Linked DNA regions of Rhinolophus ferrumequinum. The protein of the gene in region 1 purifies or fractionates together with the protein of each later gene. This does not show direct contact. Links are inferred from orthologs where the notes say so. Each region holds a gene or a part of one and is shown in the gene's direction. Other genes may lie near its edges.

Region 1 (16,747 bases):
TGGTCTCTGATTCATCTCTCACAACTCTCAGCAGTTTGAAAGAATCATACGTTTTTCTCCTTCCTGAATAGGATTCTGGGTAAAGTGGCACTTCAAACGTACTGTTTTTACGAAAAGGCTATGGCAGGGCCAGGCTAAACCTCTCTCTCTGGATCTCAGTCCCTCTTTCTTCCTTCTTGACTTTTCAATTGCTTATTTTTCTAGGCTTTATTCCCCTTCACTTTGCTGATGTCTTTACAGTGAGCCCAAACAATAGGCTTATCTCTGATCCTACGGTATTTTTCCAAGATGGAAAGAAAGGACACAAACAATAGAGATTCAAGAAAAGAAGAGAGGAGAAAATACCTGTGAAATACTGGGAGTATCCTCCCACTCCAACCCATCTTTCTTTTCTGAATGCCAATTAAATTTCTTGGAATCCTAAACAGCCAGATTTTTTTCTATGTTTATGGAACCCAGGCTAACAAGAGAACAGGTGGGAGGACCCTAAAGGGAACCTGTTTGTGAAATTTAACAATGGGCTCCACTGGTAAATAAAAGACATTTTTGCTGAGGTGGCTAAGAAACATGATTTGAATTTGAGACCCAAAATAAGTTCTCTCTCCTTCCGTGCTTTTTTTATCTCTTGCTTTTGGCTTTTTCCTTTCTTCCTCACTTGCCTTCTCTCTTGCCTTCTCTCTTTCACTTTCCCTGTTTTTCCTTTTGCCCTCTGGCTCTCTTCCCTTGAATCCTCTTCTAATTTCCTCAATCTTGTGCCTTATCTGTCTCCCCTTTTCTCAGGGGAATGGATGTGAGGAAAGGAAAGGAAAACAGAAAAAGCAAAGGCCAATGGAAAAAAACATTGTAAGACAACCTAAAGGTAATTTTTTAAAATTATAAATCTCTATAGATATAAAGGGCAGACATGACACTTCCACAAAAAGTTGTCAATATTGAGTCTTTTAACACTGAATCTTACTACTTCTATTGTAGTAACAATAGAGATGAACTGGAATGTGGAGGGTTTGTTGTGGTTTCCACTCTAGAATCCATCATGGGTCAAAATGTAACAGCAGAGGGAGAAAAGGAAGCTTCAGATAAGGCACTGGAAGAGAATGACTTGCTGCTGCTTTTACAAGTGATTCCTTTCATTCTCATTCCTACTCTTCCCTTTTGCTCTCTCATCTTACTCTTTCCCAACCTGCTTTCTTAGATTAGCCAACACAGCCAAGGCTTCTTTCTTTCATACCAAAATCACATAAATACTCATAGAGTACCTACAGGGCTGCCATGTACCGTTGTGCAGACTGTACACTGCACAGTGCTGGGGACCCCATTCGCATTGCAGTCTAACCTGCATAGCTGTACATGGTGGCCCTGGCCCACTCTATTGTAAATTTCTTTGAGACACTAGCTTGGGCGTGAGTTACTTAGAATTCAGCTTCCTCTCCTAACATAACTAATGCTGTGTGTGTGTGTGTGTGTGTGTGTGTGTGTGTGCACGCGCGCACACGCGTTCCTTGGGGCTGAGTTTGCAGAATTGAAGGGAAGGTTGAAGAACCAGGAGTAGCCTTGGCAGGAATGACATGCTCCTCTCCTCAGGGCTCTGATGATGGAATTGATGTGCAAAGAAGGGCAAAAGTGATGATATATATACCATATTTAAATCTTGACTTCCGAAACTTTAAAAAGTGGCTCCCAAATATTCAAACTGTGAATTGCTTATATATGGGAAAAGGTAGGTGAGTTTTTTTTTTTAAATGGTGAATAAAAGTTTGTTACTAACAAAAAGCATATTATTACAACTGAAGTCATGTGAAAGTAACTTGGCCTCTTATTTCAATGAGTATACATGATGTGTATGTAAATCTCACACAAATATGACTTATTTTAGGACTCAGTTTAGCATAGATCAAGAAGTTGAAAATAATTCGATGACATGCCTCTAAGTCTTAAAAAATAAAAGCCCATAATCTTAATCTTGACATCTTGATTTATTAGATTCTTACATGGGTAGAAGTAGCTTAAAACAAAAGTTTTAAGAAATTAAGAGGTTCCTTTAATATTGCTTCAAGCTCTAGGTTTAAAAAATGAGAACTTAATCTGTCCAAAGGATCTTTATTGTTACATTAAGAAGAAAAGCAGTATTATAAATGTAATTTTACTTATTTTACTCATTTTTAGTTTTTTAAAGTTTTTAACTTAACAGAAATAATCTTATTCTGTACTTCAGACTTTTGAATTAATTGAACGGACTTCTCCATCTTTTTTTTCCAGATAAACACAAACTACTAACCTAAAAAACAAGCACAGCTCAAGAAATAATAACCAACACAAGGGAATAACAAAGCAGCATCTTCCATGTGGCAGAAATAAAGGCTACTACTGATCATTAAGCATTTAAATCCATGTCAGTCTAATTTCTTAAATCTTAATTACTGTGGATGTCGATTATGAAAGAAGGTAGAGAACAATACAAAACAATAAGGTTTTCGATTCATAAACTCAGTTGTAGGGCTTCTTTATTTTGCTGTTGTTGAAGAAAGTTGTTATCCTCTTTGGTTTTACTTTTCTTTTCGGACATTAGCCCAACTCTATGTTGATTCTAACACTGGGCATTGTGGGGTCCTGGATGGTCCTTGATGGACCTCGTTCTTTCTGTCTTTTATTTCTAGCTGAGCACCTGGACTGAGAGACAGTATTTATGGAATCAGTGAACGCCATTTTCAAACAGGTTTTTTTTAAAAAAATCCCCATACTTTAAAAAATAATAAAGAAACTACAGATAGTCCCCATCCAAAGAATAGTTTGAATTTTAAAAGCCACCACTTACTCATTCTCATAAAGCTGCCAGCCATTCTACAATGTGCTTTGCATGCATTCTCAATCTTCACAATAATAATCTGACAGGTATTATTACTTTCCTGTTTTACAGACAGATAATGAAAGTGAAGCTTAGTGAGGTTACTTGTTCAAAAATCCTATAGCTAGGAAAAAAAATTGTATTTTATACTCACACGGTCTGACAATTAAGTTTGTGAACTTGTTGCCATGATGTTGCTAACCTTTTTTGACACCAGAGGGATTATTCATTATGAATTTGTACCAACTAGACAAACAGTTAACCAAGTTGACTATTTGGAAATGCTGAAAAGGCTGTGTGAAAAAGTTAGACAACCTGAACTTTTCGCCAACAATTCATGGCTCTTGCATTAAGACAATGCACCAGCTCCTATGGCACTCTCTGTGAGGGAGTTTTTAGCCAGTAAACAACTGTGTTGCAACCCTCCCTACTCACCTCATCTGGCCCCCAACAACTTCTTTCTTTACCCCAAGATAAAGGAAATATGGAAAGGAAGACATTTTGATGGCATTCAGGACATCAAAGGTAATACGTTGACAGCTCTGATGGCCATTCCAGAAAAAAAGTTCCAAAATTGCTTTGAAGAGTGGACTAGGCATCGATGCATAGCTTCCCAAGGGGAGTACTTTGAAGGTGACCATAGTGATAGTCAGCAATGAGGTATGTAGCATATGTAGCACTTCTTCTAGGATGAGTTCACGAACTTAATTTTGTGTGTGTGTGTGTGTGTGTGTGTGTGTGTCTGTGTGTATGATCACTGGTTGTAGTACTGAAAAGAGAAAATATGGGTGGAAGAGAGCCTATTGCAGTAATCCAGGCAAAAGATGCTATCTTGGAGTATGGTGGTAGCAGTAGGGTTGGTGAGAAGTCGTTAGATTCTGGATATGTTTTGAAGGTAGAAATAAAAGGATTTCTTTACAGACTGGATGTACAGTGTGGAAGAAAACCTGAGCAACTGGAATAGTGGCATTACCATATACTAAAATGAATAAAACTAGAGAAACAAAAAGTTCTGACATGTTAAAGTTTTAATGCTCATTAGGAATTCAAATGGAGATGTTGAGCCAACAGTTGAATATATGATTCTGGAGTTATGGCAGAAGTTCAGGCTAGAGATAAATTTAGAGTTGACGGTGTGTAGATGAAATTCAAAGCCACTGAGCCCAGATGCAATCCTGTAGGGAATGAGTAATAAAGAACATGATGAAAAGAATAAGGACAAATAATGTATATAATGCCTGGCACGTTAGCACTTTACATATATAGATATATTTAGTCTTCACAATCACTGTAAGAGGTAGCTATTTCTATTATCTGCAATTTATAGATGAGGAAATTGAATCTTGGAGAAATTCAAAGATTTTCTTCTGATCAAACAACTATCAAGTGGTAGAGTTGGGATTCAAATCCAGGCAGAGAGAAGTAAAATGTTGAATGTTAGAGCCCTGGGACAATCCAACTTTTAGCATTCAGGGAAGGAGCCTGAGAAGGAGGTTCCAGAGGATAGAAAGAAAAGCTACGGTGGTGTTTTAGGCACCCAGAAGGCAAAATGGAGAAAATGCTCAATGGCACCAAATGCTTGCTGGCAGGTCAAGGAAGACGAGGACTGAACATTGACCTTTTGCATTTAGCAAAGTGGCTCTAATAGATGACATTGATAAAGGCCTGCTTTGAAGCAGTGGTGGAGTTAAATCTTAATCAGAGTTAGTCCAAGACAACATAGAAATGACATCAGAGTTCAACTCTTTGGAGTTCAGCACAGATACCACTCCCGACCAAGTCACAGATATTCACATATGGATATGAATTAAAGCAGCAGCTGAGATTTGTTACACAAACAAAATAAAGATTTGATTGGGAGCTTAGTGAGGAAAAGACATGGGTAATTTTATAGCCCTTTTTAAGAGAACAAACTTAACTTCATTTCTCTTGGCATTCAGTCTAGGCCTTTTCTTCATTAGAAAATTTTCCAAGCTCCAAGTTTGCCTACCTTCTCTCTCCAAAATAAAAATTATCCTGGACCATATTTTATTTGTCTACACATCCCCAGCCTAGCAGAGGACCACCTAAGATGGGTCCAAATAAAAGTGTGATAAATGACTAACATCCTAAATATTGAATATGATATTCTGAAGTTATTTTGACTACTTGCTGTTCCCATAATAAGCCCATGCTTTTCTCTGTGTACACCCCTCAGTCATTCAAACTGATAAAAAGTTTTATGTCTATCTTTTAAAGCCATGCATAATATCTTGGTTTTCCTTTTATTGTGGGTATTTTCATAATAATTTATTCTCTGTCCCTTCCCTCTCCTTCCTCATTAGATAGTAAAGCTTCTCCTAGTATAAGACTTTACCTTTCTTTGAGTCCACAGGGCACCTTATTTTCATTTACTATATTATATTTTAGTTATATGGACTTGTCTCATCTTGTCCTTTCCCCACCTTACTTAATTCCTCCAGGATAGGGATTGCCACATGTTTCAGTTCCCTGCAGCATGTACTAAGCACATAGGAAGTACTCAGTATATTATTTTTTGAATTAATGCGTGACTATATATTAACGTTAATTGAGTTGAATGATACTGGCCTGTATGGATGGTTACTGATGCTAACCACAGACGGTGGGACCTCCCATTGCACCTGGCAACAACTGCATAATGTTCTTAGCTTAGGGACAAAATCATTTCAGCTAGCGTTATGAAAGGTTAAGAAGTGCTACAAAACATCATCATCATAATAATAACTAAGCCCAATTAAATTAGAAAAGTTCATGGTTTGTTGATTTGCTTTTTGTCTTTTTGGTTTTTAAAAAAATTTAAATACTTAATAATTAATGTACCTACTAACTTGTTTCATAACTTCTCTTATACCTGAATCAGTCAGTATTCTTCTTTTAATTTACATTATTTCTGATCATCTGGTTCATATAACTATCAGCGATTAGGCTACCAATTCAGTTATGAAATCTTTGGCTTTCACTAGTACATAGAGATGATAAAACCAAAGGGATATAATAGACTTAGTTAAGGATTTCACATATAATAGTAAATGGTATACTCTTGAAAACTGAGATTTCAGACCTGTTGCAAATGGATGAAACACAATATTAATATATTTCCCCCAAGCCTTTAATGAAATAACACAAGATTGTATTACATACCGGTAAACATGTAATAGAGGCTACTGGCAGATGATGGGTTAAGCATATGCCAAGATGAGGAAGGAGGAAGCATATTTACTATGGTTACTCTCCACCCTACACTTGATTTTACAGTGTGGCTTTCACTACTCGCCCAAAATACTTAGTTACAAATTTACCAGGGTGACTCAGTTGGTGAACTGCTTTGTGATAAGAATGAACAACTCTTCTGACGGGGGGTTTTAAACTACAGATGACCTATTTCATTCTATTTTGGGATGCATATCATATTTTTTAAACTCCCTATGCTATCATGTTAGATTTCACATGAAGAGGCTACCAGAATCTTAAAACTAGAAAAAAAATTAAAAACGTAGTTAACCTGTTACGGATGAGAAAATTTAGGCCCCAGAGACCTGGGTCACACATCTAAATCACAGAACTAGTTAGCATCAAAGCTAAAACTCAAATCTAATCACTTTACATCCAGTTTCTATATCTTCCACTCTTCCAGCTACCTTCATTTTTTGCATACAAGGCCAGTAATTTGAGTGATTTGGGGATTCTGAGAATGAGAATAAGCTTCATCAGAGAATAAACTTTTTATTTGCTAGAGGGTCTGCCCTCTTTTAAAGTGAAAATACCTTTAGGAAATAAAAATAATAACTAGCATTTGTATAGCACTTTACAAAATAATTTCCACATGTTTTGAAATCAGTAGCTGCTATCTCAGATCTCAAATGATCACAGATAGTGATCTTTTTTATTAGGGTGCAGTCCAAGCAGCTGGAGGAGCAAGGCTCGGTAGCTAGAGGGTTCATTTAGGTAGGGGTGTTACGCAAAATTGCTTGGGATTAGGCAATTGGAATGTATGGGTAATGAGAGACTCTTTTTAAAGAAGCCATTTCTTTGAACAGCTAGATCAGTGGTTCTTAACTGGAGGTGACTTTGCCCCCTACGGGACTCTTGGCAAGGTGTAGTGACATTTTTGATGGTCATAAATGGGAGTAGTGGTGTTATTGGCATCTAGAAGGTACCGCAGAGAGATCAGGGATGCTGTTAAACATCCTGTAATGCACAGGACAGCCCCCACAACAATGTGGTTCAAACGTCAATAACCCTGAGGTCGAGAAATCCTGAGCTAGAGAAAGAAAAATTCATTGAGCAGCTAGAGGACGCTTCTTGAATTATTATTTTATGCATTTTAGAACTTAGAAAAGGTCACACATTAACCTTTTGCCCCCATTTTGGATATAGCCAACAGTTTCTAGGGAATTCTGGAGATTGTTTATGTGGATTTCCTTGCACTGGATGGGGGTTGGCCCAGGTAACTCTAAGTCCATTCACTCGAGTTTTGTGAAAGAGCTGTGGCCCTTGGCATCCACTTTCTGTTTTCAGAACTCAGTCCTAGCTGGCTAGCTTTTTGGAGTCTTCTGCGATAGCAGAGAATTATTCTGTGGGACACGACACATGTTCAGGTGTTTAAATATGTCATGGTTCTTTCTAAAACAAGTGTTAGATTGTGTGCCGTGCTTCACAGGACTAGAGGAATCGCCTCATGGGGAACTGGAGTTTCTTCAGGAGTGGACAGTCATCCACCGAGGTAAGAGTCAAGGACTGGAGAACGTTAGCCGGCTCCCGACTACCTCTCAGGGAAACCTCGGACTCCACACAACCTAGCCAGCAGGCTCGAACACAAAGCAATTCTCTAGTGCCTCAGAGCCCGAAGCAGGTCGCCTTTTATACTTCGAGGCGCGCAAGTGCGCGCGACCGGCCGCTCGGGAGCTGTAGAGCCGACCAATGAGTGAGCCCTCTCTCCCAGCCGGCTCCGGATTGGGAGAACCGCGCCAGCCTCTCTGCCTAGCAGCGGGCGGGGCGCGCGCAGGAGAGACTGGGATAGGCGCGCCGCTGCGCCAGAGTCCCGGGGGCGCGTGCGCGGTCTCGCGGCGGCCGCGGGGGCCGGTCTCGCGCGGTCTCGAGGTGGAGTCGCTGGCGGCGGCGACGGCGGCGACTGGCGGTGGGGCAGGGGCGGGGACTAAGGATTGTGAGGTGGGGAATCGGGAGTTTCTGGATTCTTTATCCGGTATTTTAAGTGCCGCCGGGGAGCTGTCGTTTCTGCAGTGTTTAGGAACGGCCGCGGCGGGAGGAGAGGTGGCCGCTGTGGTACAGAGGTAAGAGGCGGACCAGCGGCGGCTTGGTGTGGAGGTCTTAATCAACAGGTCTCCCGGAGCGCGGCGGGGGAGGGGCGGCCGGGCTTGCCCCCTCCCCCACACGCTGCGCGCAGGGCCCGGCAAGACCCGAGGCTGCTCTGCGGACTGCCCCAGGCAGCGGGAGCGGCCGCCGGCCGCGGGGGGTGTGAGCTTAACCTTTGTCCCCTGGAGGAACGCTGCCTGGCGGTGCCCACTCCCTCTGTCTTGGCGAGGGACCCACCTTGGCGGGGCTCCTGCCCGTCCGGGCCGAGTTGTAGGGGGCGCGGCAGGGTCGCGCCTGTCCTCGGTACCCTGGTCCCCGAGTTCGTTACTCCCAGGACTCCCTCCAGGCCAGGTCGGGAAAATCGGCGGGGCGAACACTTTCCTTTAGAAGACGGAATGTAGTCAGCGTTCCTCTGCCTGACTCAGCTCCTGGTATTCAGCTGGCTGGTTGCGTTCTTTAAACAAATAAACAAACAGTTCTTACTTCCTTGTCACCACTTTTAATAAGAGAAGCCTCATCTCGTAAGTAGTTTCTGATAATTTACTCTAAATTTTCAAGGTGGACTTTGAAGCCAGTAAATTGTTGTAAGCTGCATTTAATGAAAGGCGCTTTGAACAATCTTTGGTGCAAATTATGTAACTTCCTAATAATAATAACTCACCTTATGTTTAGTTGATTGACATACAGTAATGTGTAAGGAATTTAGGTTTCGGTCGAAAGGTTTTTGTTGGCAGTTGGCGCTAAACTTAAAATCTGATAGCTGGGAGCTTTTTAGAAGTGGTATATAGTGTGTGTTTTGTCTCCGTGCTTGTTTAGAATTGTAAGAATTTAGATTTGGAAAGCTTCTAGAACAAGAATTTTGAACTTTTACATTTCCAGACAATGTGAAAGGCATTAATATTTCTAACTTTTAAAGTAATAATCATGTTTTAATGATCGTATTATGCTTTTGGATTATACCAGAAGTTAATAATCTATTAAATTCTGCAGTAGGAACAAATGACATGTTGGTTATTGGTCTCTTTGAAATATAAGTATTGGTGGTAATGAAGTTGTTAAATAAGCTGTTTTTGGGTTATGAACTAATATTTTTTACTAGATCCCTGTGGACATGGCTTATTACACGTTTTTAAAGGATCTTTATTGTAGCAGGCTGAAGCTATTAAATTGTAATGTAAGGTCTTTATAGCTGAAATAGGCAAAAATACGAAAAGCAATTCATCATTTTATCTTTGTTTTAAAAAAGCAAGTGAGTGTTATGTACTTGAATAACTTTTGGCTAGACAGAGCTGGACTTAACAAGGGCCTCTATAATAGTAACTTGTTTTAGAAAGTTAAAATGGGACAGGAAATGTTTTACCTGAGGGTGACCCAAGTCAATAGAGTGGAATTAACTGTTTCTGTGTTTTCTGAATTACGATCTTGATTAAGAAGCTCATCAAAGATATACCAAAAAATTTGGTTCATTTTATTTATCAATATACTAAGATGTCCTATTTCTCTGATAGTTTCTGATTTCAGGGTTTCTGGGGAAAAATTTCTTGACATAGATGCTTTAGAATGTAATTTTTAATTATATACTTACTGAATCATAGAATTGTTGAGTTAGAAATAATCTTAGTGGTTGTATAGCCTAACCTCTTCGTTTTCCAGGAAAAGAGTTAAGCAGTCTGTAGTATGACTGCTAGTTAGTTGGCAGGGTTGGAACTAAAACGCTTGTCTCCAGATTCCAAGGATGGTGCTCTTTTTCACTCTACACTGTTGTTAAATAAACCAGTAAGTTACCCCTCTCAAAATCATCTATATGTAGCCAACGGGGTTGATTTTTTCCTTTACTCATTTTTTTTCTTTCTTGTTTGAATAACCACTAGCCACAATTAATTCATTCCCCTGCTGGAGGGTTTCTTTCAGTTTTTTCAATATTTCAAACAATATTCAGTGACTATCCTATGCATGTCTCCTTGAGCATATGTGTGAAGGTTTCCCTAGAATGTAAACTTACCTGTAAGTGGAATTGCTGGCCTATGGGTTGATGTGCATTTTCAATTTTACTAGCTGCAGCCAAATTATCCTCTAAAGTTGTAACAATTTACATTCCTGCCAACAGTAGCTGAGTCATCCTTGCCACACTTGGAATTGTCAGATTGGCATTATCAGATTTTAAAATCTCTGCCAATCTGATGAGTGAGAAATGATGTATTTGTGTTCTTTTCTCAAAAAGACTTTATTTTTCATTTACGTGAAATGAAATTAACTCTTTTCGTTATACAGTTGTTTTGACAAATGCATAAAGCTGCGCAGCTACCAAAATCAAGATACAGAACAGTTCCAGCACCACAATTCCCTTGAGCTGCTCTTTGTAGTCAATCTTCCCTCCATCCTTAATCCCTGGCAACTAATCTGTTGTCTTTCTCTGCAGGTTGTTTTTCTGGAATATCATATAATGAAATCACACAGTATTTAGCGTTTTGAGTCTGATTTCTTTCATTTAGCATAATACATTTGAGTGTTCATCCATATTGTTGAGTGTATCAGCAGTTCCTTCTGTTTTATTGCTGAATATAGTATTCCATTGTATGGATGTACCACAGTTTGTTTATTCATCCACCAATTGAAGGACATTTGAGTTATTTTCAGTTTTTTTTTATTACTATGAAAAAAGCTGCTATAAATCTTTGTGAACTTTTTTTGTGTGAACATAAGTCTTCTTTCTCTTGGGTAAGCACTTTGAAGTGGAATTGCTGGGTCATATGGTAAGTGTATGTTTAACTTTATTAAAACTCTGTGGTAGGCAGAATAATGGCCCAAAGAGATGTCCTAATCCCTGGAACCTGTGAATAAATTAGATTACACGGCAAAGGTGAATTAAAGTTGCAGCCATCTGCAAAATAAGCTCTTGAAATCAGATAATGTGAGTTCTCCAACTTTATTCTTTTTCAAAATTGTTTTAGCTATTATATTCCATATTAAGGTTGCTGATCAACCGACTTTAAAACACGGAGATTATCCTGGATTATCCAGGTGGATGCAGTGTATCACAAAGGTCCTTAAAAGGGAAAGAGAGAAGCAGTAGAGTGAGATAAAAAGATGTAACAACAGAAGCAGGGCCAGAGAGATGCAGTTTTTGGTTTTGAGGATGGGGGAGGAGGGGCCGGGGGGGACACATAAGCTAAGGAATGTGGTGGTTTGTAGAAGCTGGAAAAGCTAGGAAATGGATTAACTTTTAGAGCCCCCAGAAAAGAATGGATCCCTGCCAACACCTTGATTTTAGCCCAGGAGTCCTGAGTCAGAATTTTAACTAACAGAAATGTAAAGTAATAAATTTGTGTTGTTTTAAGCCACTGAGTTTGTGGTAATTTGTTACAGCAGCATAGGAAACTACTGGGGGGGGGGGTGCCAAAAAAAAAATGTATACAAGTGGACACTTTGGTCAACATTGTTCAAGCAGTAGTTCGCCATCATCAGAAGTGTCTGGACACTGATGGTAAACACTTTGAGCACCTCTTGTAACTGCAGAAGTCAAACGTGACTTGTATTCATCTTTTGTTATTGGGATATATTGAGTGTTACAGTTTCAACACAGTTTTCCTTTCTTAAAATGTGTATACATTTTTTTGGCACCCTCTATATGCTGTGAAGCTGTTTTCCAAAGAGGCTGAACCACTTTGTATTTCCATCAGCAGTGTGTGAGTATTACGGTCACTTTACATCGTCATCAACACTTGGTATGGTAAATCTTTTTTAATGTTAGTCATACTAATAGGTATGTGACAGTATCTAATTGTGGTTTTATTTGTATTTTTCTCATGACTAATGATGTTTAGCATCTTTTCATGTGCTTATTTGCCATCTACTACTATATATATCTTCTTTGTTGAAATGTCCAAATCTTTTGCCCATTTTAAAATTGGATTTTCTTATTGTCAAGTTTAGAGATTTCTGTATAGTTCTTTGTCAGACATGTGATTTGCAGAGATTTTTCTCCCAGTTGTGGCTTGCCTTTTCCATTCTCTTAACAGTGTCTTTTGAAGTACAGAAGTTTGAAATTTTGATGAAGTCCAGTATTTTCTTTTATAGAAGTCCAGTATTTTCTTTTATAGATCTTACTTTTGGTATTGTATCTAGGAACTCTGCTAACTCAAAGTCACAAAGATTTTCTCCTGTGTTTTCTTCTACAAGTTTTATGATTTTATATTTTACATTTAGATTTATGTCCCATTATCAGTAAATTTTTGTATGAAGAGAGAAATTTTTGTATGGGTTGAGTTTCATTTGTTTTGTTGTTCCATGACCATTTGTTGAAAAGACTACCTCTTCTCCATTGAATTGCCTTTGTCTCTTTCTAAAACCATTTGACTACATTTGTGTGGGTCTATTTCTTGGCTCTTGTGTTCTACTGATCTATGTGTCTATCCTTGGACAATATCACAGTGTCTTGATTACTAGAGCTTTAAAATAAGTCTTGAAATCAGATTTGTGTGAGTTCTCCAACTTTATTCTTTTTCAAAATTCTTTTACGTATTTTAGTTCTTTTGCCTTTCCACATAAATTTTTGAATCAGCTTGCCGATATCCACAAAAAGTTCTGCTAGGATTTTGATTGGAATTGTGTTTAATATATAGTTCAATTTGGGGATAATTGATATCTTAACAAAATTGAGTTTTCCAATCTGTGAACATGGTGTTCTTTCCATTTATTTAAGTGTTTGATTTCTTTCATAAGTGTTTTTGAATTTTCAACATATAGTTCCTGTAAATATTTTATTAGACCTGTACCTAAGTATTTCAGTTTTTTGGTTCTATTGTAAATTGTCGTTAAAAAAAACTTGTGTTTCTAATTAGTTATTGCCAAGATATAGAAATACAATTGATTTTTATTGATTTTTGTATATTGACTTCATATCCTGAGTTTATTATGAATTTGTGTGTGTGTGTGTGTGTGTGTGTGTGTGTGTGTATTCCTTGGATTTTCTAAGCAGTCATGTATCTGTGAATACAGAAATGTTTATATCATTCTCATCTGTATGGCTTTTATTTTTCTTGACTTATTGCACTGGATAGGACTTCTAGTGAGATGCTGAATAGGAGTGGTGAAAGGGAACATCCTTGCCTTGTCCATAATTTTAAAGGGAAAGATTTCAATCTTTCATCTTTAAGATATGTTAGCTGTAGGTCATTTTGTAGATTCTCTGAATCAGGTTAAGGAAGTTTCCTTCTGTTCTGAGGTTGCTGAGAAGTTTTTTGTTGCTGTTTAATCATAAATGGACATTGAATTTTGTCAAATGTATCTATTTGTCAAATGTATCTATTGAGGTGATCATGTGGATTTTTTTCTTTATTCTGTTAATAGGGTGTTAACTGTGTAATTAGTTAGTGTACTGACTAATTTTCAAATGTTGAACCAGCCTTGTATGTTTCTGAGAATAACTCCAGAGTTGTTTCAAACAAAAATCAAATTGAATTATTTTTCTTTGACTAATATACATTAACATGTATGCTTAAAAATGAAGGATATTGAATGTAAGATTTTGTGAACTAAACTATAAAGTCAGAGAAGTCAAGATATTCACTAACAATTATGTAAATTTTACATATTGGTAGACTTAAGTTTTCTTGAGTTATACTAGAGTTTATAGAGTTATACTAGAGATTGTAGACTATACCACTAGAAAACTCTTGTTTAAAATTAATTACTAAGTGAAGAAAGAAAATGTTATTTTTGTCACTGTAATTACACATTCTTCATTCTGGGTTAATTTAAGCAAGTTGTTTAAATGTATTTGGATCGTAAAGTATATTTTAATTGAAGATAAAATAATATAATTGGATTTTTTGCTTGGAATAACAATAGTAGAGTTTTAAAAACACAACAACAAAAACAGACTTCCTCACACCAGAAAATATGTAGATCCTTGAGTAATCAGATAAATGTTTGGCTTGATCAGAATAGAATCAACTCAGTGAATATATTAGATCAAAATGTGTTAAGTGAAAATATGAAATAAAGTACTTGTAAGAAAAAGCCACGCTCGGTTTTGCTACAATGAAAAGTGTGGGTGCATTGTAAAAAGATGCATCTTCATTAAATATATTTAATATTGTGAATTGTGAGGTTTTTCTTCCATCAATTCGGACTACAGAAGACAGTTTAAGAGGAATAAGGGTTTAGTAACCTTATCATCAAGCTCTTTAATTATATCATTTTTATATATTTGGGCTTATCATATGATTTAACCATTATAAAAATTCAAGCAATTTGGCCTTTTGTCTCATATAATTTTAAAGTTCCTTCTTGGGCTAGCAGTTGTCTGAAAGACCCTAAACATTGAAGTTTTGAGACCACTAAGGTTCTTGACGTTTTTGAGCCTTTAAGGCAGGGGTTGACAACTTTCAGTAAAGGGAGACATACTAAATATTTTAAGCTTTGTAGGCTATATCATTTTTGTTGCAAGTTTTCAACTTTGCTCTTACAGTGCAAAGTGCAAATGAATGTGACTATGTTCTAATAAAACTTTATTTATAAAAACAGGGTGTGCTTGATTTGGCTTGTGGGTTTAGTTTGCCTACTTTTGTTTTAGGCAAAAAGTCAGCAGGAGAAATGAAAATAATTGTAGTAATGTCGTCAGCTGAGTTGGGAAGTTCTTCATGAGGTAATTCCCTGCCACACCTTTACTTTCCTTATCTATAATATGTAGCCACCTCGGAAGATGATTGAAAAGGTTAAAATAAGGTTTGGAAGACACTGAGCAAAATATTCTGACACATAGTAAATACTTAATAAGTATTTGCTTCCTCCCCCCCTTTTGTTTTATGGCTGCACAATACTTTGTGACAAATCAACAGATGTGAAATAATTAAGAAGATTCATTCAAGTTTTTGACAGTTTTTAGTATACCTAATTAGTTATTCCGAATTTTAGAAATTATAACTATTTATATTTAAAGCTAAATTGTCCTTTGAACTATGCTTCTTTTGATGAAAGTTATAACTCCTTGGCTTCACAATAGTATCAGAAACTTGACATCAAAAAAACTGCGACTTCGTGTTGAAATATAGTTTCATATTTTGAGGGTTTTACATTGTACCAGAAAATGTTTGATGTCACTTAAAATGTATTAGAATACTTTGATTTGACCTAACAACTAGGGTTTCTATATTTTGCTTGTTGCTTCAGGCGTGCCTTTAAGACAGCATTCATTTAAAATAATTGACTGCCATTTGTGAGTGCACTGAACTAGGCTGTGTGCTACTAGGTTTAGTTGCACATAAAGAGTGCCTATGTTTAGGTCCTGGTTTTTGTGTAATGTTTGGGGTATAAGTGAAGCTTCAGAAAGTTATTTTTCTGCCTTTCTGAATTTTTGTCATAGAGGTGGATTCGAGATATTTAACTCCCCTCCAAAAAGAAAAAGAGAAATCTATACTCCTTCACAGGTCAGAGGCAGGGATAGGTGGCTATTGGAATAATCTTGCCCTGGTAGTTTAGCAGGGCTAGGGTTGGATCTCAAGTACCAGATTCATAATTTTTTCGGTACTTTTTCCAGTACACCATTGCCTGGTTTGTTAGCTCGTTATTACCTGCCTCGGGCTTCTCAGAAATCTACTTTTCTTGTCCCACGCTCTCCATTTTTTTCCCCCTAAAGTTTAAACAGAAGCTGTTGCAAAGTCTTATCAAATTTTACTGATAAAATTTTGTATTATTTTCAAATACAGTTAGAACTTAGAATATAAGTGTATTATACTCAATGTGAAAAGAAAACTTGCTATTTTTAAGCAGATCTTAAAAATTCTACTTTACATTGGTTATATTATTTGTATGATATTTATGTGTAAGGAATTGGTTTTTCTTTGTTCTACAAGTAATTATCATTCACTTTAGCATAGTTTTGTCTGCCCCAGTTTTCCTAACTAGTTCACAGAGAAAACTATATATTGAATTGGGGGGCGATATAGAGAAGTATTGGATGAAGTCACTGCCCTCAGAGGTCTGCCTTCGAAGTAAGAGTGGATGACAGTCCCCTAGAGATTAGGCTGTATTAAGACAGTTTATTAGTTGTTTGAGCAGAATCACAGAATTGCTCAAATAATATGCAAATAAATTATAGGACTATTTATAATGTTATAGAATTGTAACCGTTTATTTAAAAAATAATATGCCACAATTTATTTAATACAGTTGGTGGATCTTTGAGTGGTTTCTGGTTTTGGGTTATTTTAAATAATGTTACCATGATGGTTCCTATACACTTATCATGGTGTGTGTGTACTTGTGTTTCTCTAGGGCTGCAGTCTCCAGTATGGGAGCCACTAGCCACATAGGACTATTTAAATTAAGTAAAATTAACTAAAATTGGAAATTCAGTCCCTATTTGCTGTAGCCGTATTTCAAGTGCTTGATAGCCATGTATTGATGGTGGCTATGTTACTACACAATGTAGGTACAGAATATTTCCATTATTTCAGAAGTTTCTGTTGGACATCACTGCTCTAAAGTATATAATGAGGAATAAGATTACTGGCTGACAGGGTGTGGGCCTGGTCAACTTACTAGATAATGCCAAAGTCTCTTTCTTTT
Region 2 (16,819 bases), on another chromosome or scaffold:
ATAGGTGGTCATTTCTACCTGGGCAACCAAGCAGCCCAATACCCGGCCCTCTCAATAAGTTAGGATTGGAGCCCCTTACTCTGTGAAACAGGGGGCCCAGTGGTTCTCTCAGTGACATCTACTTTTCTGGCACCCACAAAGATCCAGTGACAAAAGCTATCCCCACTTCACTGACTCAATAAGAAAGGGCTGGTTTCCTAGGGGGTCTCATGGGCTGTGACACACCACACCACCAAGGTCCTCCCCGTTTCTTCCCCGACCCCGGTCAAGGAAGACAGAGGGCAGCGTTAAACTTCCTTCATTCACATCCCTACCTTGTGAGTCTGTGTTCTCTCTAGGATCCATGGGTTTGGAGGAAAAAGAAGCAACTTCTAGCTCTACTCCTGAACCTAGAAGTCCAGTTCTTAATGAGATAGCTATTTTTAAATCAAAACATCTATGCTTAAAGATTTAAATGATAGGAAATTTGAAATTTACTAGTTTAATTTTTAAACTTTAAAAAGTTTTTGTATGGTCAAGCTAAGATTAGAATGGATAACTAAGTCACTTGCATAGTTTTTATGTGTGTTTATGTGAACTCTCACCATATCGTTAAGTCTTTTGTCATTTGCAGGCAGTTAGGTATTGTTTTACTCTGATGCTGTTGCAGAGTAAAAAAAAAGGTATTGTTTTACTCTGATGGAGTGCAGGACCATTCATAGTCTGACCGTTCATCCTCTGTCTCGTCTGCCAAAACATCCCCCCCATGCTCTCTTCACTCTAGCTGTATAACTCTCCTAACACTCTTCAAGGTACTAACACACCTCTCACTTGTTTTCTTTAGAACCCCCTGCCCTTCCATGTCTGTCCAGTTCACTCCTATTCAACCATCAAAACTTAGCTCAAGCATCCCTTCCTCGGGAAAGTTCCCACCAGCATGATTGTGTCCATCCTCTGTGCTGCTCCGAAGACTCCCATTGCATACCAGGGAGACTATAACTCTGGGCTGCAATGATATCGGAGACAGGAAGTTTGGGGGCTGCATGGGACATAAATTCCTACTCAAATGAGAATAAACAAAAAGGAAATAATAAATGGACCTCACATAAGGGTCATTTTGAGGTATAGCGGGCTTCAGATGGTTCAATGAGAGTTTCTACTTCAGTTCTCTACCATTTTCTCAGACCTGCCTTCCTAGATGCCTTCGCTTTGTCTTCAGGCTAACTTCCCCATGGTAGCAAGCCAGTTGCTAACGGTAATTGGGACAATACACTTAGAGAGGAGGAGCGAGAACCTTCCTCCTAGTTATCTTTCCCTTTGGTACGATGAGGCCAGTTTAGGTCGCATACCCAACCTTGGACCAATTACCATCACTAAGGGAATGGAGAATAATAATTAGTTGCAGACAGGATACCTGAACCAATAACAGGCAAGGGTGTGTGTAGGATTCCCGTGATTGGTTTAGTCCAGTATGAGTCAGCTTCCCTTAAATCACATAGCTTATGTAGAAGTAGGGTGGGTACCTGAATAAAAACGAAGTTCTGCCAGAAGGAAAGAAGAAGGGAATGGGTGCTGTCTAAATCACTGCAGTGGCTGCTTGTGTGTGTACACACACATCTGTCCTCTCATAAGACTATAAGCCTGCTGAGGACAAAATCCATGATTTGTTTATCTCAGTTCCCATTGTCTAGTACAGTACCTGAAAAAAAGCTTGTTTCTGCAAAGATTTTTCGTCATCAGAAATTCCTGGAGAGGACTCTGACACTCTAAAATACAAGTTTCTATTAAACTTTCAGATCATACCATTAAACTGGGTGAAGATTTGCAGAATTCTAAAAAAAACTGGATTCATAAAACTGCTAATAAAAAGATCAAGATCAACAGGAATTAATAACATTGGACTGAATGAACTGGTTAGGATGATTATATTTTTATGACTTTTTATTTGAAATGTTACTTTAGCTTTGTTTTCCAAATACAAGGAATTTCTTTTCCCCCTAAGCTACCTGTACCTACAGCAATTTAGTAAATTATACCTTTAGAAGTAGAATTGAAACATTTACTTTCCCTCCAGAATTTAGAAACTCTTAGTATAAGCTACACCTTCATTTTTTTCTTTTTTTCTTACTTTAGTTCGTTCCTATATCACAATTAATATGAGACGCCAAGCACCTATATTAGTTATTGTTTCCGTTTCCCCCTTTATTTCTGCCTAGAAAAATAACTAAACATTGGGCATCATCTTTAAACCTACTTCACAGGTCAAGATATGCAACTGGTTGCACACATAGTCAAGGATGTTCAATGCCTAGTGATGTCAACCCCAGTAAAGGTACCAGAGTTGGAAGAATACTTTTTCCTTGTGCAGGTATAGCAATGAGAATACATACATGATTAAAAACTTATCAGAAACCTTAGAGAAAATTGCTGGAGCCACCCCCAGAGCAACAGCCAACCAGGAAAAATCTTTAATTCCCTTTTGCAAGTTACATTAGACAATAGGATTGCACTTGACTATATCCTAGCTAAACAAGGTGAGGTTTGCTCTGTTATTAATAGCGCTTGTTGTACTTGGATAAAACAGAGACGAACTAGATAAAATAGAGACGTGATAAAATAGAGACGAACTAGATTAAAATTGGGCACAAAGCCAAATGATTCAATACCATGCCCACTGACCGGTTGTCTACTATCTTCCGCTGACTGCCCTCATGTATTGCCTCCTGGTTCAGATCAATTCTTCAAATTGGACTAAACATTTTGTTTGTTAGTATAGGAATTTTTGCTGTTATAAATGTTTGTTTTGCCTAGCTCGATGTTATAAAGACAGCACTCTGATAATGGTTGCTCAAAGGCTTATGAGACTTCATATGCGAAATCTCAAGAAGCTACAAAAGATTTTTGCCCTTAAAGGAACATGATGGTAAAGATTTCCTTTGTTCTTGCACTCTTGTTGCTCAAATGTGGCCCAAGTCTGCTAAAAAAAAAACACTTTCCTTCCTATGTGGGACATGACATACCAGGAATGATTCTTCCTGGTGATGTGGGACTGACAATGGCATGACATGCCGAAAATGAGCTTACCTGGCAAAGGAGGACCACAGATGCTTTTAACAAATGATCAGTGTTGCTTTCCAATGATTGATCAGCAATGCTTTTGAGGAAAGATCTCAATTAGAAGGAAGAAATATAAAATATCATATAAATGGAGCCACTATAAAATGGAGTCAGAGCTGCTATCCCAGAGGAACTACCTTGAGTGTCTTGCTTCTCGAACCTTTGGAATATTAAAACTGGGCAAAATAACCTTTGGATGGGGCCTAAAGCAGCATTGTATACCAAACAACTGTTTGTAATGATGACAAGAAGGCAGATAGTATGATGACGGGACTGAAAATTAAACATTCTTTGGAGTAACATCACTATGTTAGCTTATCTGCACCTATACATAGAAGTTCCTGCCTTCTCTTGACGTAATTGTTCCCCTTCTCTTATAAATACCCCTTGCCTTCATTTCCTAATTGGAACACTAAGTGAGGTTCTGCGTGAATCAGTGCTTCCCAAATAGCTATTCTTTTGGAACTCAAATAAATGCTTGTTGCCTCTCACTTGGGCCTTTTCATTTTTAGGTTAACACATTATACGTCATTTCATTGCAGTTCCAAGAACCTATGTATGCCACTGAGGATTTACTGTACTTTTCTCCTGACTGCAGGAATATTGTTGATCTTTGTATTTGTGTCATTTTTTATATAGATTTTGAACACCTAACTATTTGAAAATGCTATGCTTTGCTGATTAATCCCTTTACAAAATCTATTTTTATGGTTCTAATAATATCATCATACTCTCCTACAATGTATAAACTGAAAAGTACAAGACTCTTCCCATGAAAGTAAAGAAACAATACAAAAATTTTGACTCTTGAACTGATGGTATATTAAAAAATTCACTTTCTCCTCTTACTGCCCATTAATGTATGTTCTCATAGCACAGTAAAATATATTAATTTATTTGCAAGCATAGTCTCTGATCCCATGGTTACTCCATTGTCTAACTTTAGTAAGAAAGTTCTTAAATCTCAATCCTAGGTATATTTGCAATGCCAAATTTCTTTTTCACATAAAAATTCTATAGAATTGAGGGGTGGCCGGATGGCTCAGTTGGTTAGAGCACAGGCTTTCAACAAGGTTGCCGGTTCAATCCCAGCATGGGATGGTGAGCTGCGTCGCCCTGCAACTAAAGATTGAAAATGGCGACTGGACTTGGAGCAGAGCTGCGCCCTCCACAACTAGATTGAAGGACAACGACTTGGGGCTGATGGGCCCTGGAGAAACACACTGTTCCCCAATATTCCCCAATAAAAAAATAGTAAAAATAAAAGAGTTATTACTATAAAAAATTCTATAAAATTCTTTAGAAAGGAAAAGACATGAATAGCACAGCCCAGTATGGGAATTGCTATATAGAAATATTAGGAAAGAGGATAACCAGTGAAGCCTGAAGAAACAAAACTTCTTCTAGGATTCAAGGGCTCTGCACCTTGGATCTTTCCATTCCTAAGATTCTAGCATATGCCTAATTACGTTAACAGATAGTTTTTTTGCCCATAGCAAAACTTTCTGAGTAAACCAACCTGACTCCTGTTTCCATGGCTATGACAGAAACACTAAGAGATAAAAAATTGTTACTCTCCCCAACTTTTTAAAAATATGACTATAATGGGCAATCCCTGCCCCCCTACCTCCAGTGATAAATTTATATCAGGACTCTGGTAGATCTTTTATAGCTGCACATTTTAAATTCTACTACCATGTTTTCCCGAAAATAAAACCTAGCCGGACAATCAACTCTAATGCGTCTTTTGGAGCAAAAATTAACATAAGACCCGGTCTTATTTTACTATAAGACCCGGTCTTATATAATATAATAAAATATAATATAATACCAAGTTTTATATTAATTTTTACTCCAAAAGATTCATTAGAGCTGATTGTCCGGCTAGGTCTTATTTTTGGGGAAACATGGTATATACATGCTGTTATTTCTCAAGTGTTTCTAATTGTGTCCTCTCTGGTGCGCCAGTCTAGCTGCCTACTTTCCAATTAAATGGGCTCATCGATTAATAAGGCCTACTTTATGCTAAGTATATATCATCTTGAATGTCAAATGTAGGATCTAAAATGGACTTGATCAGAGTCCTGCTTCTCAAAAAACAGAACAGAATAAATTGACTTTTCTAAGTTTCACCATCAATATCCCTTTTACCAAATTCAAAACTTAGAATCCTTATACTTCCGTTTTTTCTTTGTTTTCTTTAATCCCTTTGTCTAATCAGTAAGCAACTGATATATATATATATATAAATATATATATTAAACTTTTGCTTATTTTTAAGTACAGGACCCACCAGCTTCAAGTCAAATAGTTGTTTCAATCTAGTTGTGGAGGGCACAGCTCACACTGGCCCATGGGGGGATCGAACCGGCAACCCTGGTGTTAGAGCATTGCGCTCTAACCAACTAAGCTAACTAGCTGCTCCGCAACTGATATTTTTAAGTGTTCATTTTTTTTATCCTATATTTTCACCTTATTTCAGATGTACCTTATTTCTGTGTACCTTGCTATAGTGGCTCCTTCCTTCCTCTTTTTGATTATAGGGTCCCTCCCCAACTTTGTCAATCCACTTTTCACACTGGTTCCAGATTTATCTTTCATTAAAAAAACAAAAAACCAAAAACTCTATATCATATTCAAAATCCTATTTAAGCTCCTTGGTATTTACCCAAAGGAGTTGAAAACTTGCATCCACATAAAAACCTGCACACAGATGTTTATAGCAGCTTTACTCATAGTTGCCAAAACTTAGAAGCAACCAAGATGTCCTTCAGTAGGTGATGGATAAATAAACTGTGGTACTACAGACAATGGACTATTTTTCAATGCTAAAAAGAAATGAGCTATCATGCCATGAGAATACATGGAGAAACCTTAAATGCATTTACTAAGTAAAAGGAGCAATATTGAAAGGCCATAGACTGTATAATTCCAACTATCTGACATTCTGGAAAAGGCAAAACTATGGAGACAAAAAAAAAAATCAGTGTTTGCCATGAGTTGAGGTGAGGGTTATGAATAGGCTGAGCACAGAGGATTTTTAGGGCAGTGAATATATGTCATTATACATTTGTCCAAACCCATAGAATGTACAACACTGAGAATGAACTGTAATGTAAACTGTGGACTTTGGGTGATAGTGATTTGTCAGTGTAGGTTCAACAATTGTAACAGATGCACCACTCTGGTGGGGACGGTGATAACGGGGGGAGGCTGTGCATGTGGGGGGAGGAGGGGAAAGGGCATATGGGAAATCTCTGTACCTTCCTGCCAATTTTGCTGTGTTCCCAAAACTGCTCTAAATTTTTTTTTAAATAAACACCAATCATTAAGTGTTTTAAAAAGCAAACAAATAAAAATCTTATTCAAATATTTTCAGTGGGTCTTTAATTTCTTAGTGATGAAGGACAAAGTCTTATAACCTAAAGTTTTCTGTAGTATTTTCAGGTTCTCTACCATCTGACTCACTTTATTTACTACGCACTACTGTTGGCTGTCTCCTTACTGTCACCAGTATCTGTTGTGCGTGCTCCAATCTCTGTGCTGCTTCATTTACTGAGTACTTTCTATGTGCCAAGTATATGCAATACATGTATTGCATATATGCAGTAGACTTGTTTGGTCACAGTAAGACCGTGAAGAGGTCAAGTGGGAGATTAAGTTGAAGAATCAGCAAGAAGGGGAGAGTTTAAGAGAGCTTTGGATACTTAGAAAAGGAACTGGAACTTCACAGTCAATCCAAAGTCACATTATTTTTTGAGAAAGGGGTAATATGTTTATAACCATCACCAAATGTAAGAGACCCACATGTTTGCAAAGTGATGCTTTGAGATAATTGGTTTCCGTCTGTATGCCGCCTCTCTGACTTGGGAAGCATTTCCTTCTTTTTATATTAAGCAAATTGCAACGCCTGTTAAGACCCGTTGAAGACCTAACAAATACTTTCAACAAGCATAATAGATCTCTTTATTTTCTGGAAGTTCTGGCTTCATTCTATTTGGTAATTTAATTTATCGTATAAGTTTATTTCTCGTAATAGCTTGTTAGTTCCTAAGAAGTAGGGACCGTGCTAAATTGTGTATCTTTTTACCAGGCTTCACAAGTGATATTTTTAAGAGCATCAAACTAACAATAACACTGCTAAGTACCAAGTGCATGATCTTACACCAGATGACTTTATGTTGCAGTTGTTTTGTATATATGCCTCTGCGAGGACAGGTATCCCATTTTTAACATTTTACAGTCCATCACAATTAACAAATACTTCATTTATTCAATGAATACATACCTGAAGATCGATTCTCTTTATCGTTAGAGTGTGGACTGTATTAGACAAAGTAAAACGCCTAGCATCAAAATCCCCTAGTTATAGTAAAGAGAGCGGAATAATGCCATTGTAGGTTTTACACAGATCTTTCTCAAAGTCAAGTTATGACATCAAAAACAAAAATGTTCAGATGTATAGTGAAGTAAAAACGGGGCTTGGAGTCAGAAGATCCCCTCTAGGTCCCCAACTTGGGGCAAATCACCTAACCTGTCAGGTACGCAGTTTCTTCATCAGTTTCTTCACACTGTAATTGAGGTCATGTATAAGCTTAGCGCCGGCATATTGGTAGTGGATATTGCTGAATTCGTTTCTTTCCTTTTCTCATTGAAGTGAGGGGGGAAAATAACCTCCAGTTATACTTCTTAGAGTTTTATATTGGGTCAGTGCACCTAGAAAAAACAAGGAGGGATGACAGAACGGGATAACGAGGGACTAAGCAGATTTGACCAAATCCTTTCCTCAATATCCTCTTTTAATTTCCTTGATCGTGGGTCTCGCTCTCTGCTCAGCCTCCTACAACACCAGTCTAGCGACCTTCCCACTCCATTAGTGCCGGCTGTCCCCACCACTAGGTGTTTCCTCGGTCTGATCAGCCCCCAGACGCTACCTATTCCAGGATCTTTAACCCTCCCTTGCCCACTGGAATTTAACCTGCAGAAAGGAGAGAAGCCAAGGACCCTGGTGTCCGCTTCTCAGAGTCGGCCTCCCGCAGCCCCAGGCTCCTCCGCCCCCGCCAACGCGGCGCCCCGCCCCGGGCAGGGAGGTCGGTGCAAGGGGAGGGCCTGCCAGGTGAGGCGCAGTCACCCTGGGCCTCTCACTTCCGCCCAGGTGAGGGAGGGCCGACGCCGCGCCCTCCTGCCAGCCAGCCCGCTCTGGGCTCCCACCCGCACCTTCACCGGACCAGGTAAAGCGGGGGATCCCGCTGTGTGGGCGCGCGCAGCGCTCGGGGTCCCTGCGCCTAGGAGCAGGCGAGGGGCAGCCCCTCCTCCTGTGTCTGGAGCCTGCCTCCCCTGCTCCCAGACGCTTGCTCTCCGGCATTCCTCCGCCCGCCCTCCCCGAGGCGGTGGAACTGGAGACGGGGGGAGCTCCTCGAGCGCTCGGAGGGGTCCGCGGGGGGTGCGGGGCGCTGTCCTCCTGCGTCGGCCTGGGTGACCCCACCGTGTCCCCCGCTCCTCTGGCAGGGCTCATCGGAGGCCGCCGGCTGCAGAGCTGCCCCGCCTGGGCAGGCCCTGGCGGCCCTCAAATCTCGGCCCCTACTGATCCGGCAGTGGCAGGGATCAAATTTTGCACCCAGATTGATGCCTGCGCTTCGCCCCCAGAACTGGGCGGAGTCTTTCCTCAACCGGTGACGGTGAAAGGAGTAAAGAGGTGGAGGCCTGCCTCCGGGACTGGGAGAAGGCGGGGCTGCCCAGACCCCAGCGAGGGGCGACTTGGCCTCGGCCCCTTCTGGGAGCCTTGTCGTCACGTAGCCGAGTTCCCAGGCCGACCGTCAGGCCGAGGCTCTGCTGGCCTCACTTTATAGATGGGGAGGACCAGGCGGAAAGTGCTCTGGCCTCCAGCCTTTGGAGAAATTGATGGACGCCTGCTTTAAGTCAAGCTCTGGAAAGCATTTTCAGATCCCTCCCGGTCCCCTCCAAAGCTCCCCAGCCCTCCTGGCACACCTAGCTGGCCGAATTGATATCCCCAGAGAGTGTTCACTGGGTGCTTTGTCATATCTCCCAGATGGCTCTTATCACTTTGGATTCGAATTGTTTACCGCTTTGTCTCCGCGATTGAGAGGGTGCGCCCTTCGGGGCCTTGTTTCTTTGTAGGTTGCTTCCCAGCCGCGTTTTGAGTCAGGCCATCGATAGGTGCGCAACAAACAAGTGTTTCTTGGATAAGACTTCTGGAGAGCTAGAAGAAAAAGAAACTTCAGTTATACCGCGGGTGGTAGTACCACATTCTAGGCTGTCTGAGCTCCTATAGGCTGCCAGTTCTTTTGCACAAGTGTTTTTAAAGGAAAGCTGGAGAGGAGTGGGGGAAAACACTCAAATTGGTTCATTTTGCAGCATCAGAAAAAGTTAGGCGAGATCATGACTTTCAGCTAAAATGAACTTGGTGTTTCTAGGCCCCTAACGGCCTTTATAAGGATTATTAAAAATTTAAAGTAATTATAAAGTTGATGAATATCGGAGCTGGAAGACAATTTTATAGGTAGAATTTATAAACTGAGTTCTGAAAAGATTTGCCCTTGTTAATTGAGATCCTGTTAAGGGTCACATAAGATGAGTTTGCCATCAGAATAGCAGTTTTGTTTAAAGTCGAGAAGAAATTGTTTTAAGCCCTCATCTGTGTTTAAAGATGCCTAAGTTCAAGTCATATTTATTAATATTTTTATAACTATAAAGCGAACATTGATTGTAGAAAAATTGGAATTTTCAGGAAAAAAAACTATAAAGCAGACTCAAAACCATTTACCATTGAAAATAACCACTAATAAAATTATGGTATATTGTCTTTCAGTTAGTATTCTTAAAAAGAAAAATCCGTATATTTTCCCATAGTGAGTTCACTTTTAGAACCTTGTGAGTCTGAGATAGTGCTTCAGCATTCAGAATCCTTGCAACTGCGTTTTTACTTGAAAGCATTTAATAATTATCCTTAATCTAAACAACCAAGCAATCTGAATTTACTTGCTTTGTTAAAGTTTAACAGACACACTCGGACATTAGGTTGGGAAAGCCAGAATGGAGTTTAATTTATTTACTTAAGACTTTGCCCACCTTGGTACTAAAGTTTTTGAGAAACAGGATTATTCCACCTTAATATTTGAGATTGCTTGACCATTGCTATGTTTTTTGTTGTTTTGTTTTTCACACTCACATGTTTTTGTGCAGGTTTGGATGCCTTTTTTAAAGCCTCATTTTCGGTTTTGGTGCAAATGGAGAGAAATTTAGAGCGCATCAATACCCTGTCTTTAGTCATCAGGATAAGATCTATGCTGCAGTCTTAGAGCCCGTTTATTTTTTGCGTTTGTACAGCTGTGCAGCCAGTAGAGTTTGGAGACATGGAATTGAGTCCACTTACCATCTAACTCTTGGCAAGTCACTTGACTCTGGTCCTCTGTTTTCCCATTTGTAAATGATCTATCTCACTGAGTTCTGGGGAGGTTGAAATGAAATAATGTTAAAGAATGTGTCTTGTAAACTGTAAGCCATTCTTCCCACTTTTTGCTTCTCCACTGTGATTGATGTTTAACTCTGATAAAATTATGGAGTTGTGCTATTTTTATTGGGAAGAACTCAAGTCTGTGAGTGTTATTGCTAATAGTTACTTTGATAAAAGGCACCTAGACAGTATTAGCTGATAAATGAAAGTCTTCGCTAAAAGCACTCTACAGGGATCTTTCTGAGAAGGTGTAGGTGAAAACTACTGTCAACATGGTTAGCCACGCGCACGTGTGACTTTTGGGCACTTGAAATAGGGCGAGTTGGGATTGAGATGTGCTATAAATGTACAATACACCTTAGATATTGAAGAGTTAGTGTAAAAAAGTCTAAAATACCTCCTTAATTTTTAAGTATTCTTTACATATTGAAGTGATAATTTGTATAGATTGGATTAAGTAAAATACATTATTAAAATTAATTTTACCTGCTTTTGTTTTACCTCTTTCATGTGGCTACTAGAACAATTCAAGTTACATATGTGGTTCACATTGTATTTCTGTTGAGCACCAGGTTAGAATTCACTACGCGTATGTTTATCCTTAAGAGGGTTTAGTTTACTGAAGCTCTCACATTCCTATTTATAAACTGGTTTTTTTAAACTCCAAAGTTACAGGCCTCTCCATACCTTCTTTCTTTGTATTCATTGCATTGGTGAAAATTTTTGTTCTTCAACCATTCAATAAATAACCATTATTGATTACACAGCAATATCTCAGCTGAAATAATTTAATTATTAGCTTGTTTGAAGCCCCCAAAATATCTTAAATAATTTTGATTGTAAAAAGATGTTAATAATAGAAGCTACCATTTATTGAAAGGGTACCGGATGCTAAAGCATTCAATAAATGGTATTAGATATTAATCTTAGTCCGTTAGGTATGAGGTATTAATTAGATAGTAGATATTAATTAGGTATTAGATGTTAGATAGGTATTAGATTTCAGGTATTAGGTATTAGATATTAATCTTAGTCCTTTCAACTGTAAATATTTAGTCATTTTTATTAACTCGATTTTACAAATGAGGAAACTGAGGTGTAGAGAGATTTCAACAGTTAGCCAGAAGAACCCCAGAGCTGGTCCCAGGAGTAAATCCCAGGTTTCTATGATTTCAGAGCTTATAGGCTATACAGTCTCTCATAGTTCAAGAATTGATTATTGGATCAACTGGGAAAAAGTTGATTCTTGAAGTAGATATTTATTTCTGATCCTGTTTTTGTGTTAGTGACCAATAGGAAACAATCTAAATTCTCAACAACAGGAGATTGGGTGAATAAATTATGTACGAATATTCCTCCAGTGGAATACTATTTACTAGTTACAATCAGTGAAGAGGAGCTGTGTATATCATCATGACTCAATCTTAAAAATATAAAGTTGAGCTAAGAAAGCAAATTCATGAAGGATAAATATATAGTATAATTACCATTTATATAGTTTAAAAACCTGCCAAACAATAATATTGTAAACAAAGAATGCGTTTTAAGAATTTCAGATTTGAATTCTGTCTGTTATTTATTACTTGCATTTGTGAAATTGCCTTGTGGTTAAAAGAACTTAGTACAGTCTCTGTGAGATTAACATTGTCTAGTATTGGTCTTACTCTTAAAAAAACAAAACCAAAGTCCTGCCCTTTGCTTTGGTGATCTGGACAGCTTGACTGGTAGGATGCTTTTAGGTCCTGGTCTGCAGCCTTTCAGGAACAGACCAATTTTCATTTAGCTTTAGTTTCTAATTTATGGGTGTAGCTTTGATGATAGGGGCAGGGTAGGGCTTCTGCCTTGAAAAAGGTGGATTTCCTTTGGAGTTATTTTCTGGAGCTTCTAATGAAGTTCCAGGGACAAAGTGTGGTAGGAGGGAGATGAGTTAAGTAGATGTTGAGAGTCAGGTTGACAAACATTCCCTCTCTAGTGAAAATTTGAAATATCTGACTCTCATTTTTAAAGTAGTTATCTGCTGAAAAAGTCATTAACAGTTGACTTGCTCTACACCCCAAGGTAAAATTAATTCCCCTCAGTGGCATCTATGCTGCCTTTCTCTGTTATCACCTTTTTCAGCGTGCTCTCCCCCTTGTTTTTTGAAATTGTAGGTTTTCTGCATTTGCAAAATAGAGATGATAATACATTGTTAAGAAGATAAATGAGATGATATACAGAATGACCTTGCATTGTACATAGTGGGCACTAAAAAAACTAGTTACTTGATTAAATGACAGATAAAATGGTTTTTGGGAAAAGGCCAGCAGGAGGAAGGAGGGTGAACATTGATGGAAAAGGTGTCCAGAGCCTAGTTTGACCTATTTCACAATTTGCTAGGATTGTTTAGAATATTACAAGCACGCCGGAAATGGCACGACCATATTTCTGGAGCGAAATTAAGGACACACAGTCTATGGTGTGGGGAGAATTGAACAGAATATTTGAGGTGGAAACTCATCATTAGTGAAGGGTATGAATGCCTGGATCTTTTCAAATGAGGAAACTGAGGTGTAGAGAGATTTCAACAGTTAGCCAGATGGGCTACACGATCAGAGATCCATTAGGTAAAAGTTGCCCAGATTTGTTTTCTTGGTCAGTCATTGGAGAAAACTGCCACCAACAGGGATACAAAACCATACCATAAAAAGGTTAACTTTGTTCATACACAGTGACCAAGTTACAGGCAGGATATTAATATGCATTGGATGCATTAACTTTGAATAGTTCAATGAGAAAAATTAGTATTTAGCCAACTGAATTATTCTGAAGAACTGACTCAATTTTCAGTTCTGACTCTAAGTTTAACATGGTGTCTTTCAGCTTCAGTTTCAACATGTCCTCAATGTCCAGCATTACATGGATTTAAGCATTATCTGAGGCTTAGGCGTATGGCCCCTAAATATCAAGGTCATTCTAGAATTTGCATATCTATTTCCAAAATACCAGGAATACAGTATAGTGTTTTGGCAGCAGCCAAAAATATAGTATTTTTTACATCTAAGCAGTTTAGAGAAGGCCTTGTCATTTGGTAGGGACACAGGGCTGCGGCACATGCCTTAAATCTGCACTAGCATGGCAGCAGAGGTGTTTATTTGTAGTTGGAATGAAGAGCCATCATTGCTCTTTGGCTGGGAGAGTTTGTTTTGCATTTAATCAGTACCTCAAATGTTGAGCTTTGAGGACAAAGCCATGATAATTAGACACAACCTGAGCTTTGCACTCCAAAGGAAGCAATAGAAAGTTGTTTGTGAACTTCCATTGTTGAATAACTCCTGAACTCATGACTTCATTTACATTTAATAGCTTTTAGATTGTTCAAACTCTCGGGTCCTTTTGAGCTCTAGGGAATTCCCATTGAGGAGTTAAGTGTAGGTTAATTCACCTGCAGTTAGAGGCTGAGTATCTGTACTTTCCCAAACAGATTGCCAGTGATCTTTTTCTCCCCAAATTTCAAGATAGACGCATGAGATGTCTTGTTAAGTTTGAGATAGATGTATAAGATATCTTGGGGAGTTACATTCTTGTGTGCTGTTGGGGGTCTGAAAACTGTATTTCTCAAGGTCCACAACTCTCCTAAATTCTTGAACTGAGGAGGTTAATAAATCTTTCTAATAAGTTTCCTCCACTTAGAAATGTACATTTAATAGAATTAAATTTCTATTTGTGCGTCATTTTTTTCCAACTATTCCATTAATTGGTGATGGCTAAGGGCATGGGTATTAAAAAACAACAACAACACAATATTATAATTCCTTCAGTCAAATCCTACAGTGAACCAGACGTGAAGAATCCATGGTGACAAACTCTCTTGATCAATGACAGAGTGGGAGCTTCTGAGCATAATAAACTACTCATTCTCTGGAGGCTGTACAACTATGAGGACAGTGGCCAACTGGCATTTTAATGTTTAGACTATGACCTATATAGGTAGCCTATTTATGACAAGTTAGACTCAGCTTTACCATGTTTAAACAAACTTGAAATTCCTTGCTTAAGCCTTGTTGGTTTCTTAGCCTAGCCAAATCGGTCAAAGTTGTTTGGTGGAAGATTTCCTATGTCCATGAAATGAGACATAGGTTACATTTAGCCCGGATGCTGCTTGCTGGATGTTCAGCTGTGGGGTTACATTTCTTTCTTCTGTACTCATATACTACGCTTTAGTCCCCTTCCCTAGGCATTACTCAACACCATGGAATTGTAGTAATTTTCCAGGCCTGCTTTGTGGACACAGTTTAGCTTTCATTAAACATGAGTCAGAGAATTGGACGGCCAACCAGTTTCTATCCTTTACCCTTTTAGAGGGATACTCTACTACTGTGGTTTCCAAAATGTGTAGGATGATCCATTGGGAGTGTAGGAAGGCGACAATAAAATCTGGCTTTTTAGTTTTTACCTTACTCTCACGGTTTCTATTTTATATATGGCTTTAAACACATATGACATGTAAATATGGTAGTATAAGTTTAGAAAAAATAAAGTGAGTGCTGAACATATTTTTACTGATGGGAATGTGTATTTAAAAAAGTTTGATGACCACTAATCTATCCTATTACCAGAATTACCTTTTTAAATAGAAATTTAGTACTTCCCTACTAAAAAGCCTTTAATTACTTCCTGTTGTTTACAGGATACAGATCAGTCTACTTAGCATTATTTAAAAGGCCCCTTTCAAAATAGTCTTATTTAAGCCAGTGCTTCTCAAACTATCAGTTTTCCCACTCAGTCTTTCAAGGACTGATATTTTTGTAAAATAAATTATTAGAAAAATGAATTGTTAGAAAAGTGAATTGTTAGAAAAGTGAAATTAAAAAAAGAAGTACAAAGTCAGTCAAGTTTTTTTTAATCACTAAATGTAATAGACATAAATTACCCCGCGACATTGCTTGTTTTGGTTTCCAAATGCTTATTCCCAATTTTGCTACTGTACCTGTTTGTAGCCAAGAATCAATTTGCAGCCCACACTTGCAGTAACACTGGTCTAAATAAATGACTTTTTTTGCCCTTTCTGCTACTTTCAGAGACCTTATACTAGGTCATTTAGAGAGAGTTAACTATTCTCACAGAAAGCCATACACTTTTATGCCTGTATGCAGTTCTCACATTGTGGTGTCTAGTCTGGCAGCATCGGGATCACATGGAAACAGCATCGGGATCACATTAGAAATGAAAATTCTCCGGCCTTACCTCAGACCTGCAGAATCAGAAACACTGCGGGTGGGTCCCAGCAGTTTGTGTTTTAACAAGCCCTCCAGGTGATTCTGATGCATGCTAAAATTTGAGAACCACTGACCTAGTAGCAGCCCTATATGTCATTTAAACTGGGGCACTTTTGAGAGTGAAATGGAGCCCTATTACGGAATAATGATGTTGGTAATCTGAGACTATCAGGCAAATGAAGACAAATGGTTACTCTACTTTTACACCTATTCCTTTTCTTTTAGGAGAGGTTCCTAAAGTGTTCTCATTCCAGTATTCCTAAACTTTCATAGGCAGGGTTAGTCACTCTCCCTTTATAATTTCTCTTAGCACAATGCACACACCTCTGCTGTTGTGCACATAAGACTTACAATATAATTATCCTACTGTGTTGTCATCATCTTGCTATGAATCTGTCTTGCTCTCTCTTTAGGGCATCTTAGCCATTTTGTTTTTTCCCCTTTTATTTTTTAAGCTGTAAAAGTAATATGCTTTTTAAATAAAGTTCAAACAGCACTAAAATCTGTAATGTCTAATTTTTTTATCTCCCTAGCCCCACTTCTACTTTCTAGAAGTAATCACTATTGTTAAATTGACTATCTAAATGTAGAAATCTAGACACGCAAATATGTATATTTTTTTCTTATGAAAAGTAGAAAATAATGCGTATATCTTGAAACTTGTTGTTTTTCCTATTCAGTTGTTTATGTTAAACAACATCCCTTTGTTAACACAAGGGTTGAATTGTCAAAACATACTTATGTGAATGAGAGATTTTACCCAGCACTGGAACCGTATGCATGATTCAGAGGTTATAGGCAGGAGGCTGGCATGGGAGCCACACGCAGACATTACTTATTAGAGAAAGCCCCGGTTGTAAGCCCAGCTTCCAAAGCATGTCACTCTCTTCCACATTAGGCCATATATATCATCAACATAAATCCTAGTTACATATAAATTGACAGTAAGTCATTTATTAATGTATTTTTGACAGACTTACTGCAATTTTTAATT

Evidence for each region.
Region 2: the proteins of PALS1 (region 1) and PATJ purify together in Homo sapiens (co-immunoprecipitation; 5 studies listed by BioGRID and IntAct, counting the BioPlex papers as one, with this or other methods). This does not show direct contact. The link is inferred for Rhinolophus ferrumequinum from reciprocal best matches to the Homo sapiens genes PALS1 and PATJ.

The regions. Positions count from the first base shown.
Region 1 is NC_046289.1:29,397,723-29,414,469, reverse strand, and holds the start of PALS1 (protein PALS1), read left to right. Parts: upstream 1-8,009; 5' UTR 8,010-8,154; intron 8,155-8,413; exon of another isoform or gene 8,414-8,546; intron 8,547-8,576; exon of another isoform or gene 8,577-8,697; intron 8,698-16,747. UniProt on the Homo sapiens protein: Plays a role in tight junction biogenesis and in the establishment of cell polarity in epithelial cells.
Region 2 is NC_046292.1:45,105,446-45,122,264, forward strand, and holds the start of PATJ (inaD-like protein), read left to right. Parts: upstream 1-8,198; 5' UTR 8,199-8,327; intron 8,328-16,819.